Linked DNA regions of Drosophila melanogaster. The protein of the gene in region 1 interacts with the protein of each later gene in a pairwise test. Each region holds a gene or a part of one and is shown on either strand. Other genes may lie near its edges. The genes, in order: LSm7, SmD3 and CG8204.

Region 1 (5,670 bases):
ACGGCTGCGGCCGCCGCAGCCGCTGCTGCCGCACCGGGATTCCCAGGCTGTCGGGCAGCCTGAAAGCGCTGGAGCATCACAGCCCGATTCAGTTCCTCCAGTTGTTTGACCTGCTGCTGCGCCGCCTGCTGCTGCTGCACCGCCGCCTGTTGTTGTTGTTGCTGCTGCTGCACCGCCGCCTGCTGTTGCACAGCGGCTTGCTGTTGCTGCTGAGCCGCCTGTTGCTGCTGTACTGCCTGCTGCTGTGCTGCCACAGCGTGTGCCACATGCGCGGCTTGCACCTGAGCTTGGACCACGGCCTGGGCTTGCGCTTGGGCCTGCACCTGGGCAGCATGTGCGTGTGCGTGTGCCTGCGCCTGTGCCACGGCAACTAGAGCGGCGTTCTGTAAGAAAATGTTTGGAATCGATTGAATTTATCTCACTTGCCACTGGGAGGGTGTAGTTTCGGGGTCAACCCAAAAAAAATGTATCCTGACTGAGTCAGGTCTCTATGTACCTATCGTGGTAACAAAAAAATTTGCTTAAGGGTTTCAAAAAAACGGGGCTGAACCCCAAATGAAAAAATAGAATTGCAGATTGTAAGCTGCTGAAGTAACAAAAATTGACGAACAAAAATTACTAGATCATATCAAGAATTAAAGTAATCATCTAATTTAAGATTCCCTATTTAAAAATGAGTTTTTAGCCTGCGCTTGATGTAAAAAACGCTTCCTAAGCGTGTATGGAACCGACTACATAGATTTCTAAAACATACTAAGCAAGCTGGCTTCAAACCTGCCCCTATGATCCAATTAAATCAGCCCACCCGCTATAAAGAATTTCACTATTTATCAGTGGGCATGTGAATTGCATTTCAGCTGCTTCCGCTTTACCTTTAAGATACAAAACTAGCACATGTGTTGGCATATCACATTGATGGAGATTACTTTTAGGGCCAAGACAATGCGAAACCTTGCTTTTCCCTTCTATCGAGTTCTCTATGTGTTGAGGTAAAATGTTTTAAATCAAATTAATTAAATTGAAAACCGCCGTTTCATTTGTTTTGTTGCCATTAATTTTTTTTAATTAAAAATTGTACAGACATATATCATACTATATGCTAAAAAAAGTTTTCTTTTCTTTTTAATGTTGTTTCGTATTGTGTGATTCTCGTAATCTGTTTGCTCTCGTACGCTGTGGTCGTCTAAACGTAACTTCCGCTGTCGCAATTTGCGATCTGCGCAGAGTAAATGTATAAAAGTGTCCAGTTTGGAAAAATGGAATTCTGTTAGAATGCTGAATGCATTCTCTTAAAATGCAGTCGAAATTGGGTCAGGTTTTTTTATGTGCAATTACATTTATTCTTTCATTATTTTTCTTTTTTTGGAGGAAATTGTCTTTTTTACACGTCCTCGTTTCAGTCCGTTGTGCTTGTCATTTCCTGTTAATCAGTGGAAGTCGTTTCCGTCACGGTCTGTTTATTTATATTGACTATGGTTTCTATAACTATGATAAGAACTCACTTCCTGGGCCTTCGACATGGCTGCGGAGACGACAATCGAGTTAGCCATGCCACTGCTGCTATTGCTACCCGTGGGCGAGATCCCGGCCAGCGACGGGGGCGGCGGAGTGGTGGGAATCGACGTAGAGGGGCCACCATTGTTGCTGGGACTCTTGCGACTTTGTGGATTCGCCAGTGAAGCCAAAGCGGCCGCCAACCGTGCTTGTATTTTCGGTTGGCGCGCGCGCAATTCTTCCAGACTCAGGTCCTCCTGTGGATGCATAATCTTTGTGGTCACAGCAGCAGCGGAAGTTCCGCTTGCCGCCGGTGGAGCTGGAGGTCGCTGCTGGTGTTGCTGAGCATCTGGCGGACCACTTGGTGGTGCGCTGGATGCGCCACCAGCATGATTGGTGGTAGGCGGAGCACTTATGGTAGCATTACTTTAGCAAAAAGAAGAAATAATTGATTTACGTTAGTTAAAAACAAATTCTTAGGATTAAGCCTAATAATAAGTCATTTGACTTGCTTCACAACTATGTTTAATAGGGGAAAACCATTAAAAATGTGCCAATGTGAACAATTATTTGGAGTAGAAAGTATTTCACCTAAAATACCCCCAAAACTGAATTTACATACGAATCGTTTAAAAAAAAAAGATTATTAACAGGGCTCTACGTCTAACTGCTAGCTTTAGAAAAAAAAATTGGAAGGATTCTTATATGGTCTTCCCCTAACGATGCTAACCTGTACGCTGGAAATGTTGGCTTTTGTTGAGCCATGGCGGCGGCGTGGTGATGATGGGCCGCCGCCGCAGCAGCTGCCGCCGATGTTGTGGCCATGGCGGCTGGAAACAAAGGACGCGGAGGCATCATGTGCGGCATCATGGGCACTGGATACGGAGGCAGTGGCGGCATGTGCTGCATCATGCCCATGCCGTACTGCCCCAGCATGTGCGGTGGCATCATGTTCGGGGGCATCATCATAGGCGGCGGTACACTCATGGCATCTGCAATGAATGTTGTATAGCGATTTTGTATACAATACAGTTTGCTGATCACTTACATTCTACTTTCTTTTTGGCCACCGGTTCATCATCGTCCGAATCAGACTTGCCACCATTCTTCTGACGTTCGTGATCCCTGAGATCCTCGGCGGGAATGCCGTCCATGCCAAAGATTTCGACTTCAATATTTGAGCGATTGGGCAGCGAGTTGGGGACCTTGTCCACCGTTTCCTTGTGCACCTGCATGCAGTGTATGGATAGTCCGGGTCCGGTGTACAACTTCTTGTGGCAGATGTGGCATTTGAAGTGCTTGGCCTTCTGGTGCTGCACAAGGATCTTTTCGTCATCGAACTCACGGTTGCAGTACCTAGTTTTTTGCGTTAAGAGTTAAGGAAAATTCACGGGGATGCGGCGTTGTAGCCAGTATGCATATACATGTGTGTGTGTATCTACCCCCAACCCAATACCATTATATAAATGTGTGTGTATGTGCAGATACAGCGAGCGGCACATGCAGTGAAAAAATATTTATATCTTTGTTTTGCGAAAAGGATACCAGCACCAGGGTTTGGAGGCCTTCTTCTTCTTGCGTCCCATGATCCTAAGGTGGCTTTAAAACACTTAAATGTACAAAATCGATCCGGTAATTGGTAGAAGATAACAATCTGTTGTACTAAAAATTGCTCTGTCGTGGAAAACAAAATGGAGAGCCAGTCAGAGTGACCAGCATATCGATACAAATAAATGAATCTTATCGATATCTTAAACCAATATAATAATTATTATACAAATAAATTGATATGTTCGCCTCAATAGCAAAAGGTAAGAAAATAATTTCACAATGATGACAGTAGAAATAAGAGAACTTTGTTGTCATATTTTTCAAATAACATTAATTCTTACATATGTTTATTCCATTATTATCGATTATGTACCTCAAAAAGCGCGGCCCATAAGATTACTTCACCAGCGCCATCTGCTGGCTAGTAGCGCCTTATTTGGTGTATTTCTAAAAAAATATGCTTTGGTCACTCTTTACCAGCCGGCATTTACCAAAAACAGAATAATGGCAGATAAAAAGGTAAATTAAATAGAATAACTACATTGTGGTGCTTAATCATCAAAATCGTGACTTGTCAGGTGGGTGGCAACAATGACGGTAAGGAGAAGCGCCGCAAGGAGTCCATTCTGGACCTCTCCAAGTACTTGGAGAAACAGATCCGCGTGAAATTCGCGGGCGGCCGCGAGGCATCCGGAATCCTCAAGGGCTACGATGCGCTGCTCAATCTGGTGCTGGACAACACGGTGGAGTATCTGCGCGACTCGGATGAGCCCTACAAACTGACCGAGGAGCAGACCCGCAGCCTGGGACTGGTCGTCTGTCGCGGCACAGCCCTCGTCCTCATTTGTCCGCAAGACGGAGTCGAGAGCATCGCCAATCCGTTTATAACGCAATAGTCCAAGGTTTTGTGGCTGGGATGCGTTCCAGAATGTAGACTAAGTACAAAGCTCTTTTGGAAATCGGTTTAAATATATTTAGCGGAGACATACATACGTATAAATTAGTTCTTAAAATCTAATCAGGCCGCAAAGTACCACGTTTATGAGCCCGCGAAATTGTTTAAGCTTCTCCATAAAATTCAGAGTGTTCCGATTTTAAATTAATGCACTTTATCCTCTTCAGGTATGTTACGAAGTTATCTACGGGTTTGCTTACGGTCAGATTTTGAAAGCTGAATCATCTAAATATGCGTAATCCAATTTATAAATATTAATTTTTCTAAACAATTAAAACCTAAAATTGTATCAATCTTATCCAATTACTTATGGAACGCTCCAAACATTATGGATATATCAAAGCGCCTTGCGCAGAGCCCTATAGTGTCAAGCGGGCTATCACCTTAGTCCAAGCCGAACTCGTTGCGAATCCAGGGATACTGGGCAGGACACTCCATGCAAGTGTAGAAGAATCGATCCTCTTGCAGCACCCGACTACGCACCTTGCACACATTCGGCGTGTTGCAGACCTGCTCGTGGGGATCCAAGTCCTTCGGTTGGCAGTGCCAGGACTCGAATTGGTGCAGCTGGTTGCTGGGCGTGGGATGGCGCATCCACTGAATCGCCTGCTGGTTAGTCACGAAGAACACATCCGGCAGCTTTTGCAGATCGTCGAGGAATTTCTAAATGATCAGGAAGGAATGAAGATCTAGTATTATGGGTAACAATTCGAATATTCACCAGAAATGCATTCAGATAGTCGACTTTCTTGAACCAAGTCGAATGGAAATACAGGCCAAATGGTGCCCTATTGCTGAGGTAGTGCCTCTTGAAGTTGTGCGTGAGCATTCTGTACACATCCTCGCCGCTCAAATGCGGCGGACACGTGTCCACCATGCCGCACATATACTCGCCCACTTCCAGTTGGTTCATAACCAGCTCCCAAATGCCCGGATAACTCCTAGACGGGCAATTCTGATTTACGCCCGTGCAGCTGTGCGGCATCTTGTAGTCCAAGGTGTAGGGCCACAGAGGAGGATTCGAATGCGGCGCAACCATGGATGAATCGTACACGAAGCCAAACTCCTTCATCATGAGAAACTGTCGATTCCAGCCGACGCGCAGAAAGGGTACTCTCATGCCACGAATCTCCTCCATTCGTACCGCTGCGAACTTATTGATTATATTCGCCTGGCCAACCATCTCATCGAACCAATCCTCAATTGTGGCATTCTTGGACCACCACATCTCTGGGCCACGATGCCTTTAATCAATAAAAGTGAAATTTCAATTTTAAATAATTTACAGGCTGATCAACAACTTACGTTACTGAGTGCACTGCGATCTCGTGACCATCGTTCCAAAGCTTCTGCACATACTGATAGTTGGTAAACGGATGTGAAACGTAGAATGTGCCCTTAATGGGACACCCGTTGGGGTTTCGCCTGTGCTGTGTGAACAAAACCTTGGAGAACAGCTCCCAGTTATCGTGATTGATGGCATCGTCGAAGGTCAACAGTATCATCTGCGGAACACTCTGTGCCGGAAGACTGCCGGGTATCTGGGTGCCATCCTTCGAGCAGAAGCACTGCGGCAAATGGCACTTTCGCGGATCACAGGCACCAGCCGCATTCGGATCGTGCTCCACATCGCACCAGCCTTCGTCGGAGCCGTCGGGACAGTCTACCGA
Region 2 (6,244 bases), on another chromosome or scaffold:
ATTGAAGCCACTTTCATATCTGAACCGGCGATTAGATTAGGTCCGCCCCTTGGAACCACACACTCACCGCCTTCAACATGATAGCTTCGGTATAGGATATGGACTTCAATGCCTTCTTCTTCTTCTGTTTCTGCGATGCAAAGCTCTCGGATCGTGTAAACCCGGCGACGCTCCAGTCTCGACTGTTTTTCGGAGACTCTTCCGCCGCCGTTTATATCGTTATCTCCTCATGCGAGTGCCCACAGCCCACAGCCCCTGGCCACCATATCACATAGATGGGGTATATATGTAAATATATTCGGCATGTTTTATCGTTCATTTAATGGGCAGACAGACAGACGCACAGTGGAGTGAACAGCTGTTGAATGATTTTCGGGCCAAGATTAGCTGGGAAAGTACTCAAACCTCACAGTTCTTTTCAAAAATATTACCCAAAACTTTACAATTTAATCGGAAAGAGTAGTCAACTTGAGATACTATCTATCAGGCTCATCAAATCATAGATACAGATACAAAGCATAACTCTCTGTAAGTTACTATATATGGATTGGTTAATATTCTTTAGAAATGTAGCTATGCTTTTGAATCATTGAAGCCAAAAGTGCAATAATTACATTTAAAGCTTAATGTGATCATGACACTTTGATTTTTAAACTGGCTCTTCATTTCAATGAATGACTGCTGAAATCCAATTGATATTGGCGATGATGTCAAATCTCACGCTTTTTTTTATTAATTTAGGAGCCCCCGTTTTTCCAATAACTACTTATCTTCAAGTGACAAACTGTGCAGACTTATCTCTAACAATCGTATTGGGTCACTTTTTAAACAGTAGACGAAATACATATAAAATCTCTCTTATCTGCGAAAGGAAGGTGAGGCAATTGGGTGTATAAATTTAATCATAAGTCTCGACCAAGTTCCACTCGAGATACTTTCAATAAACAATAATAATGCGCACTAAACGCGAGCGTCGTAAACGAAATAATTTAATAATCCGGCCGACAATTCAATAATTTTGTTAAGTCATATGTTTTATTATTGGAATCAAGAAAATGATACATACAAAGTGGTATAAATAAAAGAACTGCTTTCGCTTGCTTGCTTGCGGTGTGGAATCTATTGATTAATAAGTTTATTAATATTGGATATAGCGTGTATGTGGATCCTTTTTGCTGATCTATGTAATTAGCTTCTATGCATATGCGTTTCCCTTTCTATCCTTCAAAACTTCTACCTCGCCGTTCTCGTCGCTTTCGGCGTACAAAAAGTGAATAAAAATATATTGAATATTTTTAAGTGCGAACAAATTGGGATTACAATACTTCATATATAAGCTTAAACATAAAATATATAGAAAAAACATGAAGAAAATATATATGTTGATTAGACATGAAAACATAAATAAAAAATATTGATTCACGAATAAACTTAGGATTAATACATTCCTTTGTTTTGTTTTGTTTTTTTTTTGACATTTTTTAGTTTTCTACTTTTTTTTACGTTTTCGTTCGATTTTTGTTGTTGTTGGATATAGTTTAATATAGTAATTTGCGATCAGGCTCTTAACGTGGCTGGCCATAATTGAAAGTCTACCAAAAATGAAGCCGCTCCGAAGACAATTTTCAAAACGATTTTCGACTACATAAACAACGCGAAGATTCAAAAAGGATTGATTTGCTGATTTTCACTGAACACATATTGAGCTCAATATGTCATTGTATCTACGGCTGGCTAATAAAAGTTATTTGCGGAAACTACGAAACAGAATATTGGATTGCTACTGATATTACTTCTTCTTTGTTTCGTTTCTGTGGCGAAAATCGTCCCCTTGCCGACGAACTACTCCTCGATGCTGTAGAGGAAGTAGTAGTTCTCGTTGTCGTTAATGGCAGCCGGCGGTGCCTGCGGTGCCTTCCTGGACAGCGGCTCGAAGCCCATGAAGAGGAACGCCTCGATGAGGCGAGCTCGATCCGGCTGATCTTTAGGCATTACCATAACGATGCCGTCCACCTCCAGCTTCTCCTCGGCGAACTCCAGAAGCGAGATGAAGGTCTGCTTGGAGCCGGCCGGAGGAAGGTCCTTCGGTAGAGCGACATACAACAAGTTGTTGACTGGGTTCAGAATCGTATTCCAATTGGTGTACTGGTCCTCGGTGACATGCAGCTTGATGGTGATCTGCACCGGCTGGTCGTGCTGCAAGATCTGGCGCAGCACTTCCTGGCAGTCATCGTCCGAGCACAGCGAGTGGATGTCGGGCTGCGACTCCAAGTCGGAGCAATCCGACTGGGAGGACGACAACGACGACGCCCGGGAGCTGGCCTCGTACAGGCTGCCACCAGCCGAGTCGACCGAAGACTTACGGCTGTAGCCTACACGGAAGGAATTAACACATTTTAGCATAATAAGTACTTAAATGGTTAGTTATTATTACTCACCCGTCAAGAGCGATGCCCTATCGTGATCTGTTCTGTGGTGGACAGGGACATCAGGACCACCACAGAGGCCCTACGCCGAGAGAGATGCGGTAGGACTCCGAGGACATGGTCGTGGCGCAAGACGAAGTCGAGATGGTGCGGAGCTTGCCGTCGGCAATTCCGCTGTCATTAAATTCTCTTCTAACGAAGCCACTACTAAACACTGGGTCGCTGTGGAAAAAAAATTGGGTATTTAGTCAAAAAAACCCCATATCGAACTGCGATGTGCCTGTTCGATTTTGTAGCGCAACTCCATCTGTTGGAAAGTTTATATCCCCTTTTTAATGGCAAGCATATAGCGAATATTCCCATGTTTTTATAAAGATTATTTCCCATTTACAAATTACTTATGTGAATTATGAATTGAATTTATAAACCCGAAATCTTTACCACAACATGGTGTAGAGTAAAACTCAATTGGTAACTGAACGTCGCAAAAGCTGCTAACAAACTGATGGCCACGAAGGCAGAACGAAAGGCTTATCAGCGAAGCGGCGACAATTTAATTATTTCGCTTTTATGACGCTAACAAATTGCAGTTGTTTATTTTAAAGCGATAAGATACGCCCGCGCGCCTTATCGGCAAACCGATAAGCTGTTTCCGATAGTCACGCAGCGCATGCAGCCCTGCGCTCACGCACCACCAATTTCACCACAAGATGGCCGCCGGCAGCTGTCAAAGCGGGAGCGAGCACGCAAACACATACACTCGCAAACACTCGGCATAAACGCTTGCACAAAGAAAAACGGAGAAAAAATTTAGCGGTTTCGGTGGAAAAAAAAACAGTGAAAAATATATAGTTGAACGAACAAGAACAGACAGCAACACACCAAGCTAGCGAACATGTCTATCGGAGTGCCCATTAAAGTTCTGCACGAGGCCGAGGGCCACATAATCACTTGCGAAACCATCACCGGCGAGGTGTACCGCGGCAAACTCATCGAGGCGGAGGACAACATGAACTGCCAAATGACCCAGATCACGGTGACCTACCGAGACGGACGCACCGCCAACCTGGAGAACGTCTACATTCGCGGCTCCAAGATCCGATTCCTTATACTGCCCGACATGCTGAAAAATGCCCCGATGTTCAAGAAGCAGACGGGCAAGGGACTTGGTGGGACGGCGGGACGGGGCAAGGCGGCCATTCTGCGCGCACAGGGTGAGTTGGGCACTTTGGCCCACACACACACATACACATTCACTTTTTGCACGGACTGCCTTTAAAAACAAAATATTTTCTATGCTCTCGTTTAACTTCTAAATTTAACTAAAATATTTGCTATCCCAATTTAATAATCCAAATACCATACAATTTTTATGATAGTAAAAAAAATGGTAGTAAAATTTATAGAATTTAATATGTATAAATAGTGCTACAAAAAATATATTAATGCAGGGTTTAGTTTGTTTTAAAAACTGAGCTGATAGTTTTCGTCAAATCATATCCCTCCCATTTAATTCATTAATTTCAAAATTTAAAGTATTAACGTATGGGTAAAATAAGAAACATGCTAAGGTAGTAAGTTTGTGTATATGTTTATTTTTAGAAAGCAAAAACTAAAAAAAAAAATGTTATAAAGCCATGTGCAGTGAAATCTAGAAATGAATTTTGTTTTTAAAGACAGTCGTGCAGTGTATGTGAGGCCCTCAGCGAAATGCAATTATTAAAAACGACATTTCCCTTACAGCTCGTGGCAGAGGAAGAGGCGGACCTCCGGGCGGCGGAAGGGGCACTGGTGGACCGCCAGGAGCTCCCGGCGGCAGCGGCGGACGCGGAGCATGGCAGGGAGGACCAACCGGCGGTCGAGGACGCGGCGGCCTGTAGGAACTGCCTACTGAACAACGCATTTCTATTCTCTAAGTTGCGGGCATCATATTATTAGCGGGCGGGTCGAACTTCTCCAGATGTTTTTTGTAAAGTATTTATCGGGCAGAGCAGCCGAGAATACACTTGAAACTTGAATTTGAAAGAGGCAGACGTTGTTTGTTGTCTAAGTAAAGTAAGCACCTGAAAGGTGGGAAGGGATTAGACACCATAACCAGGGGGACGCTCACAAGTTTGGCTTAAAATTAAGCACTCCAATTCGATTCATTCGATCTTATAATCGTCGCCTTTCGAATGTTATACAAAGAGAGCAATTCCATGACAGTATTACAATCGGTCTTAACTTGACTGTCGACGGATAGCTCTCTTCATTTCACAATTCGCGGAGGATCTGAAAGCGGAAATCTAAGCTAACACCTCAACGGACAGGACACAGTGTTAGGCCAGACGAACTGAATGTGGAACTTGGGTTTAGTCGTTTGGTTAGTCTCATTGCCTCACAGCGCATCGTCGAATATTATACAAAGAGAGCAATTCCATGACAGTGATATTAAATAGTTTCTGGACTGTCGACGGACAGCTCTCTTTATTCACTTATTCGCATTTGGATTCGATTTGGTTCGTTCTAGGTGTTAATCAGACATTCAATGTGGACAGCACAGATACATACAGATACCTATATACTATATAAATGCTTTCCACACATTGTACATACATATGTACATTTGTGTATTGTTTGCCGGCAGACTACGTGCGAAATATGCCAGGCATTTTGTTGTTATGTTGGTTTCCTTTCTGCCAAGCCAATTAAATCAACAAACTGCGCACTTGGCAGAGCATTGTGAATTGAGCGAAATAGAGGCCTGAATGGGAACAGTGACCACCAGCAGCAGCAGATGGATTGGATGCATGTGGTTCAATGCCTAATGAATGCAATTTATGGCTGTGTCTGGGGGTGGGGGGGTTTGTTAGAGTAATAATTCCCCGAATCGATGGCACGTGTGCAAGGCAATTGAAAATGCTTTCGCAATTAATAAAAAAGATGGGGCTATGCTGACGTACCACAAGATTTTCTGGTTCTCGTTCTGAATCTTCTGGTTATCTGGCTGCGCCACCATATCGCTAGACGTCGTCATTGCCAAGTTAAATATTTGGTCTCCGGTTGAGATTTATCACAGCTGCAGTCTACTATCTGTCTCCTGGTATGTGCTCTTTATCTTTTATCACAGATTGCGTTGCTTCGGTCGGTCGGTCCTTCGGCGGAGCTTGGAACTCACATCGAAAAGATGTGGCGATTGGATATCTGTGTGTTATGTGGCGGCCCGGTTTCCGTGCCTCTCCTCCACTGGCGATGTGGAGACTGCTCGCTGATGATCTGTGTGGTGCTGTGCTCTGGGCGTTTGTCTGGCGACTGACGACATCCAAACGGTGGCGGCATCATTTATCTATCTGATTAAGTAGCAGCGACTAGGAGGCCTCACGATATATCTACATACACGTACATACATACATACAAATGTATAATAGCCTAGTTCTATCCGACAGATATGCAAATGTGCCGGAGAGCACGGGTACAGTCGACCCGGTCGGTCAGGGGATGTGGATCTGAATCGGGGTGCGGTGTGAGTCAGAGCCCCAAGGTTAAATGGAGCCCCCTACTTCCCACAAAATACGGGTGAATCGCTAAACAAATAAGGCGCAAATAACTATAAGCAAAAATGCCGGCACACGTAGCATTTGCATTCACAAAGTCGCAATGGGCAAACAAAATAAACGGAGAGAGCTGCCGGCTATAAATATCCATAAAAATTAATATACAAAGTCTAAGAGAAATTCTTTTTTTTTCTGTGGCGCTATTTCAGTCAAAAACATCACCACATTTTTTAGGCTGCACGTGTCTGCCGCTTTTTTTTCGAACAAATGTACCAAAACAAACGA
Region 3 (5,783 bases), on another chromosome or scaffold:
GGCGAAGCAAAAAGGATTACGCCAAGGTATGGACAGCTCCTAATGATTGATGGGCCATTGCGGCCAATTCTTGGCGCTGGCTTTGTTTCGCCTCTATTGCATCCGCCGCTGCCTGTGGCGCCTCTCAATAAACCGAAGCCGTAGAAACCGTAAATCATGCTCCGTCCGTTGCGTGCCAAGTCATAAATACCCCGGCGGACCCGCTACTTGCCTCCTCCTCCTTCTCCTCCTCCTTGTGCTCCCCTCCCTCACTTCGCGTTGCAACTTCTAAAGCGGCCTGCAGCTTTTTAATTAAGGCACCAAGCGGCAAACAAAAAAAAAAGAGTAGCCAAAGTCAAAATAAAAACGTGGCGTATGTAACAAGTATAGGTTGCCCAAGGCAGCGATTAGTTGCTCTAACAATTCCAAGATCCGTTTCACTCATGGGAAAAGGATTTAGAGGCGCATGAGCTTGATTGATACAAAGCAAATATTTTCAAAATTCCCACTATACACTTTATTAAATCAATATCAGGCATTCTATTGAAGCTTAAGCTAAAGCTTCAATATTCTACATCCATATTCGGCTAACTCAGCCTGTTCCATCAAACTCCGCCAATGAGTTGAGCTACCTCTTAGGATGTGCAGTGTTATCTGCAACATAAGCTCGAAGAGATGGGGCAGGAGGAGCAGCAGGATCGGGAATGAGCAACTAGAGCCGCAGCGGCGGAAGACAAATGGCCAAGGCGCGAAGTGTTTGCAGGCCGCTGCCATCAATCAAAGCGGTGGACTCTAGGACTGCATCTTTTCGTCATGCAGTTAGATTTATGAACCTCCGGAATCGCTGTGCCTCCGTCCATTCTCGTCCCGGTCATATTGTAAATCATTTCCAAATTATTTAGTCGCTCTCGTTTCATATATATATTCATATTTTTGGCGCCTTTGCTTTTGCTCGTCGACGTCGAATGTGGCACGTGATTGCGTTATAAATTACAAGCCATTGGGATTCATATAGTCCTCGCAGCCCTTCCATTCCATCCCTCCGTGCATCGTGGTCTCCTGCTGATAGTTAATGTTCCCCGGCATCCGTTCGGCATTTCGAATTATTTTCGAATCCATTTGATGACCCACTAGTCCACTATCTCCAATACTCCGGTGAATTCCAATCGAATATGCTTGCAGATGTCGCGTTTGCATGCCTGCTATCACCCAATATGAATCCAACTACCTGGAAGGACTACAGGCGATCATCGCTATACGGAAAATAACCATTATTAAAGATTAAGAATCTATGGGACATACAATCTCCACTTGACATGTTGCATAATAGATATATTTATAGGGATTTAAACCTTTGCTGTGCAACACTTTGTGGTTAGTATGATAAAAAACTGCCTCCACAAGAACCAAACCTTTTTGAAAAAAGTACATTCGCGCTAAGGAAGTTCGACTGCCAAAGCCATATGTGTTGCATGTAATTTAATATTCATTATATGCACTATAAACGCTGTGCCACTACGATTGCATGATCTGTCAATCTGCCCAATTGCCAGGACTATCTGCCCCCTTATTTTTCCACCTTCCAGTGTTTTCCTCGTTTGGCTTTTCGGGCGATAAAAACGAAGCGAAAAGTGCCGCTATCTATTAATATCGCTTTTGGCTTTTTCGCTGGCGGCTAGCTGGTAACTGGTAGTTGGTAGTTGGTAGTTGGTATTTGGTAACTGGGAAAAGCTGGGAATGAAAAACGCTGAAAACTCCTAACGAACGACACCTGCCCTCGGAAAATGCCACTACTGCACCCCGCGAGAAACTTTCGCCCCATTTGGTGGCGTGTGTCTCGCTTTTCTTCTTGCTGTTTGCATTGGTCGCCCCTTTTCCTTTTGGCGATACACTGCTGCTGATGTTGCACGAATGTTGTAAATCAAAAGTAGGCGAGTCACACGAAGGGTCTTCCTGCCCCCCCGAAATCCCTGCCACCGCCGATAGCCGCTGCTTGCCAGCGCCTCTGCTGCTGCGCCTATTTGACTGGCAGGCCGAGCGGATAACGCTGGCAATTATCGCGCTTGTGCCTCACGAACAGCGGAAGCGGCAGAGGCGCCACATCATGTTACCCGGCCCGATTCCCCAGACCTTCCACATCCCCAAACTCTTTGTTAGCCTGCATCCTTTGCTTTCTTTTGTACCACTCGTTTTTCTTTGTGCAATCCAATTGGTAGCGCTCAGAAAACAAAGCAAAAACGATTGAAAATAACAACAACCAGTCCCGGCTACAAGTCCCCCAAAATATGGCAACAGAAACAAGAAGAAAAAAAACGATTCATATACGAGTATAGCCATGCACCTAGACCACCCCATCCGGTCAGTCAGTCAGTCATTGAAGTCATTTATTGCCACCAAAAGTTTTTCGCTGTTTGCCATACCCTCGCAGAGGTTATTACGGCTCAGACTAGGAGCAGGACACGAAGGATCTCAATGGGTGTAGTTATCGTATACAGGACTGTAAGAAGTTATAACCCAATGACATTACCTATAGGACTATCATTATTATCAAATCTTAATGACACACATCTATATGTGTATATTTCATAGCTGAATATGGCCATATAAATGAGATGTTTCTCTTGCAACTAAACCTACTTTTTAGGACTATATATTGTGCATACACATAACACGTTTTCATTAGAAAGAAAGCTTAATAACAAAGGGCATTCCATGCTTCGGTTAACCAATCGAGCCTCACTGTTGTACTTATTTTTACTTCTGGTTGTACTGTACTTGTCTTTGGAGCTGGAGCGGATCTGAACGACTCCTTCCCGGGAAGGACCGTTCCGTTTCAGTACGTTCCGTGTGCAGGATATGTTTACAATTTGCGGACACGCCGACCGTCATTTGATTGCTCCCCTCGCGCTTGTCGAATTCTCGGTTAATTCGCCAGGTGGCTTCAGACTGCGCATTGCCATCGGCGGCGGGGGGAAAGGATTGGGAGGCTTTGGGGCGGAAAAATGGGAGGGCAATGATAAGCGTTCCTCGTTTGTTTGCTCGGAAGCCTCACGGAAGATGACGTGCCCGGGATGGCCCATAAATGAGACTGGCCAAAGCAAACAGACCGGATACACAGGATACATTCAATCAAATAAGGCTATTCGTAACCGGAAAAGGGCAGGACGACTCTATGTCTTCCTCAATCTGACCAAACACTCCGCTAATCGTATGGTTAATAACTAAAATACCTGTGGATAATCTTTAAACGTTTTCAATATGTAAGTCAGTGAGATACAGATACAGTAGATTGAAGCTTTCTGACTATATAAAGTATTTACTTATTTATGATGAGCAAAATTGAATGTTGATGATGAACATTTTATTTGTTCCAGCAAATTGTTCAAATTCAAATTAAAAGTAATGGCGCCAAAGATAGAATTCATCTGTTGACGAAGGCTGGCAGCTACAGAACAATCTAACTAAGCTATGGGATTCGTTTCAACACACTCGTCGTAGAACTCCACTAGTTTTGTTTTCTCACTAAATTAACATGCAGCCCCGCGATCTTATGCGCATTTTAATATTATTCTGCTTGCGTTTTGCATTTAACTTTTTGATTGTTTACCTCCAAAAACATAACGCCGTTCCAGTGGAGCAGAAACGGCTTGGAACCCTCGATAGAGGCAAAAGCTGGAGGCTATAAAACTCGCACAGCTGAGTTTTATTTTGCACGCGACATTGAATTTGATGAGATGGAAAAATGCATTATTTGCGTAGATAACTTGAGAAAATACAAGTGCAGCAAATGCTCGGCACCCTAGTAAGTAGCTATTCGAACAGTTCACTACGGAGATAATAAATGTCGCAAAATGTAGCTGCTCTGTGGCTTGTTATAAGACACACAGGGATTCGCCCCAATGTGCGACAAGGGAGTCCGACTTGAAAAAGACTGAAGTTGGCTACCAGGAGGAACCTACGCTTCATGTGCCCTTCCCCACCGACGACACAGTTGCCGCGGAGAAGCTCCAGCAACTAGGTAGGTGTTTAAATTCGCAATTATACACATTTCTCATAGTATGATGGTTTCCGTACAGAAAACTGCCAGGAACTGCGTAATTTGCTCCACAATCCACACCTGCGTTCGCTGCTCCAGCAGATTGATGTGGCCATCAATGCCCAGTCGGCCATGATGGCCGCCATGCAGGAGCCACTCTTCGTGGAGTTCGCTAATGCCTGCCTTCAAGTCGTCGAACCGATGACGGATGCTGAGCGCACTGAATTTGAGTTGTACTCCTGAATTAAGTTGACACACAGTCTCAATAAAACTAAGCCTTTATTTTGTAACTAATAGTACTGTCAATCCTTGGCAGCTTCTAGAGGAGCTTGCATTGAAGAACTCCTGGAAACTTCTCATTGAAATCCGCCGGTAAGGTTGAATCTTTTCCATAACCAGGGAAAACGTACAACTAATTATTTGGCTCGGCCATTTAAAGTTATCTATCTCAGCTGGCATATCAAACTAGTCATCAGTCTACAGCTTCGTTCCTTGGCAATCAAACTCAATCAAAGTAAATTGAAACTGGATCCGAGTTAAAAGTGATTTTTGGATGCTTCATGTGCAACTTGAAAAGCCTATGTTCCCCTTGCACTTTCCAGGTCATGGGGATGGGATCCTGTAATGAAAAATATTAGAAACGAAAGCTAATATAAGTTGTGAAATACTTAGACCTCATTAGACATGAGATACGTGTTTAGTTCCACATAAATATTAAGTGCTGTGGTACGGTTTTCTCCCAGTTTCTTCGCATCGAATGTGAACTCCTTAAATCCGAAGGTGCAATGGTATATACCCAGGACCTCGTGTGTGTTTAGGTTTTGTATTAAGGTATGAAACTTAATTTCGTCCACACAAACCGAATTTTGTATATAAAATTCATTGACATTAATGTGAAGATGCTGATACGCATGCATACCAAAATTAGCCACCTTTAGGGTCTTAATAGCCACATTTAAACCGTAAGTTTCACAAAATATGGATGTATTTTGGCTTATCTCGATCATATTTATAGTGCTTCTCTTCGCAGCTATGAGAATCTCTCTCAGAAATCCGTATCTAACGTGACCACAAAGAAATAGCTTCTTCAAGTGAGTTAGACGTTCCAGTTTCGATAGGAACCACACCATCATTTCCTCCTGGAAGCACTGCAGCTGCTCTAGGTTTCTAATCCCTTTCCAGGGCAGTTCTGTGTTCGAAATCTGGTCAATATCGAAGATACCCAGCTTCAGGGATTTTATTTTTCTGGTTTTCAGGATCTGTATCAAGTTGGTGACATTGAATTTGCTGCAGTAGGAGACCGTGAGGTTCTCGAGAAACTCGAATTCATCAAAGTGTTTGCCAGTAAACTTTCCATGGGGGCTAAAAGTTGTCAGATTTGGAAAAGTTTTCAACATTCTTGGCACGTCCGCATCGTTTAAGTTAAACGAATGCGTGGAAAATCGAAAATCTTTAAGTTTTGGAAAACTACAGCTGGTAAGTGTTTCGAAGTTAGATCTATTATTCATTTTGAGCCGCAGAGTGCTGAGGATTTGTTGAGTACTTTCCAGGAAGAATAGCAAATCCTTGTCGCTCAGCTGCATTTCAATCAAGGATATATATGCACATTTGTTATAAGCACGCCACACATACGGCATTAATTTCTTAAACCGGAAATGAAAGTCTTTCAGTTTTAGTTGGGTCTTCAAGTCGAGATAACTTAGAATTATCATTAGAACATCATCGGGCAGACATAGTAAGCCAGGCTTGGTATTCTGCAAAGGGCAAA

The links.
Region 2: the proteins of LSm7 (region 1) and SmD3 interact in a two-hybrid assay, tested with the Drosophila melanogaster proteins (one large-scale study listed by BioGRID).
Region 3: the proteins of LSm7 (region 1) and CG8204 interact in a two-hybrid assay, tested with the Drosophila melanogaster proteins (one large-scale study listed by BioGRID).

Annotation. Positions count from the first base shown.
Region 1 is NT_033779.5:16,740,940-16,746,609, reverse strand, and holds LSm7 (uncharacterized protein), read left to right. Parts: upstream 1-3,509; 5' UTR 3,510-3,549; coding exon 3,550-3,564; intron 3,565-3,623; coding exon 3,624-3,941; 3' UTR 3,942-3,984; exon of another isoform or gene 3,985-4,167; 3' UTR 4,168-4,295; downstream 4,296-5,670. Other genes in the region: BuGZ (Bub3 interacting GLEBS and zinc finger domain protein), read right to left, coding at 1-383, 1,503-1,920, 2,225-2,486, 2,543-2,850, 3,046-3,080; ChLD3 (chitin and LDLR binding deacetylase 3), read right to left, coding at 4,385-4,663, 4,722-5,244, 5,306-5,670.
Region 2 is NT_033778.4:12,165,556-12,171,799, forward strand, and holds SmD3 (small ribonucleoprotein particle protein SmD3), read left to right. Parts: upstream 1-3,175; 5' UTR 3,176-3,321; coding exon 3,322-3,640; intron 3,641-4,002; exon of another isoform or gene 4,003-4,169; coding exon 4,170-4,306; 3' UTR 4,307-4,448; downstream 4,449-6,244.
Region 3 is NT_033778.4:15,571,664-15,577,446, reverse strand, and holds CG8204 (uncharacterized protein), read left to right. Parts: upstream 1-3,455; 5' UTR 3,456-3,713; coding exon 3,714-3,781; intron 3,782-3,836; coding exon 3,837-3,997; intron 3,998-4,055; coding exon 4,056-4,258; 3' UTR 4,259-4,303; downstream 4,304-5,783. Other genes in the region: CG30466 (uncharacterized protein), read right to left, coding at 4,521-4,634, 4,690-5,769.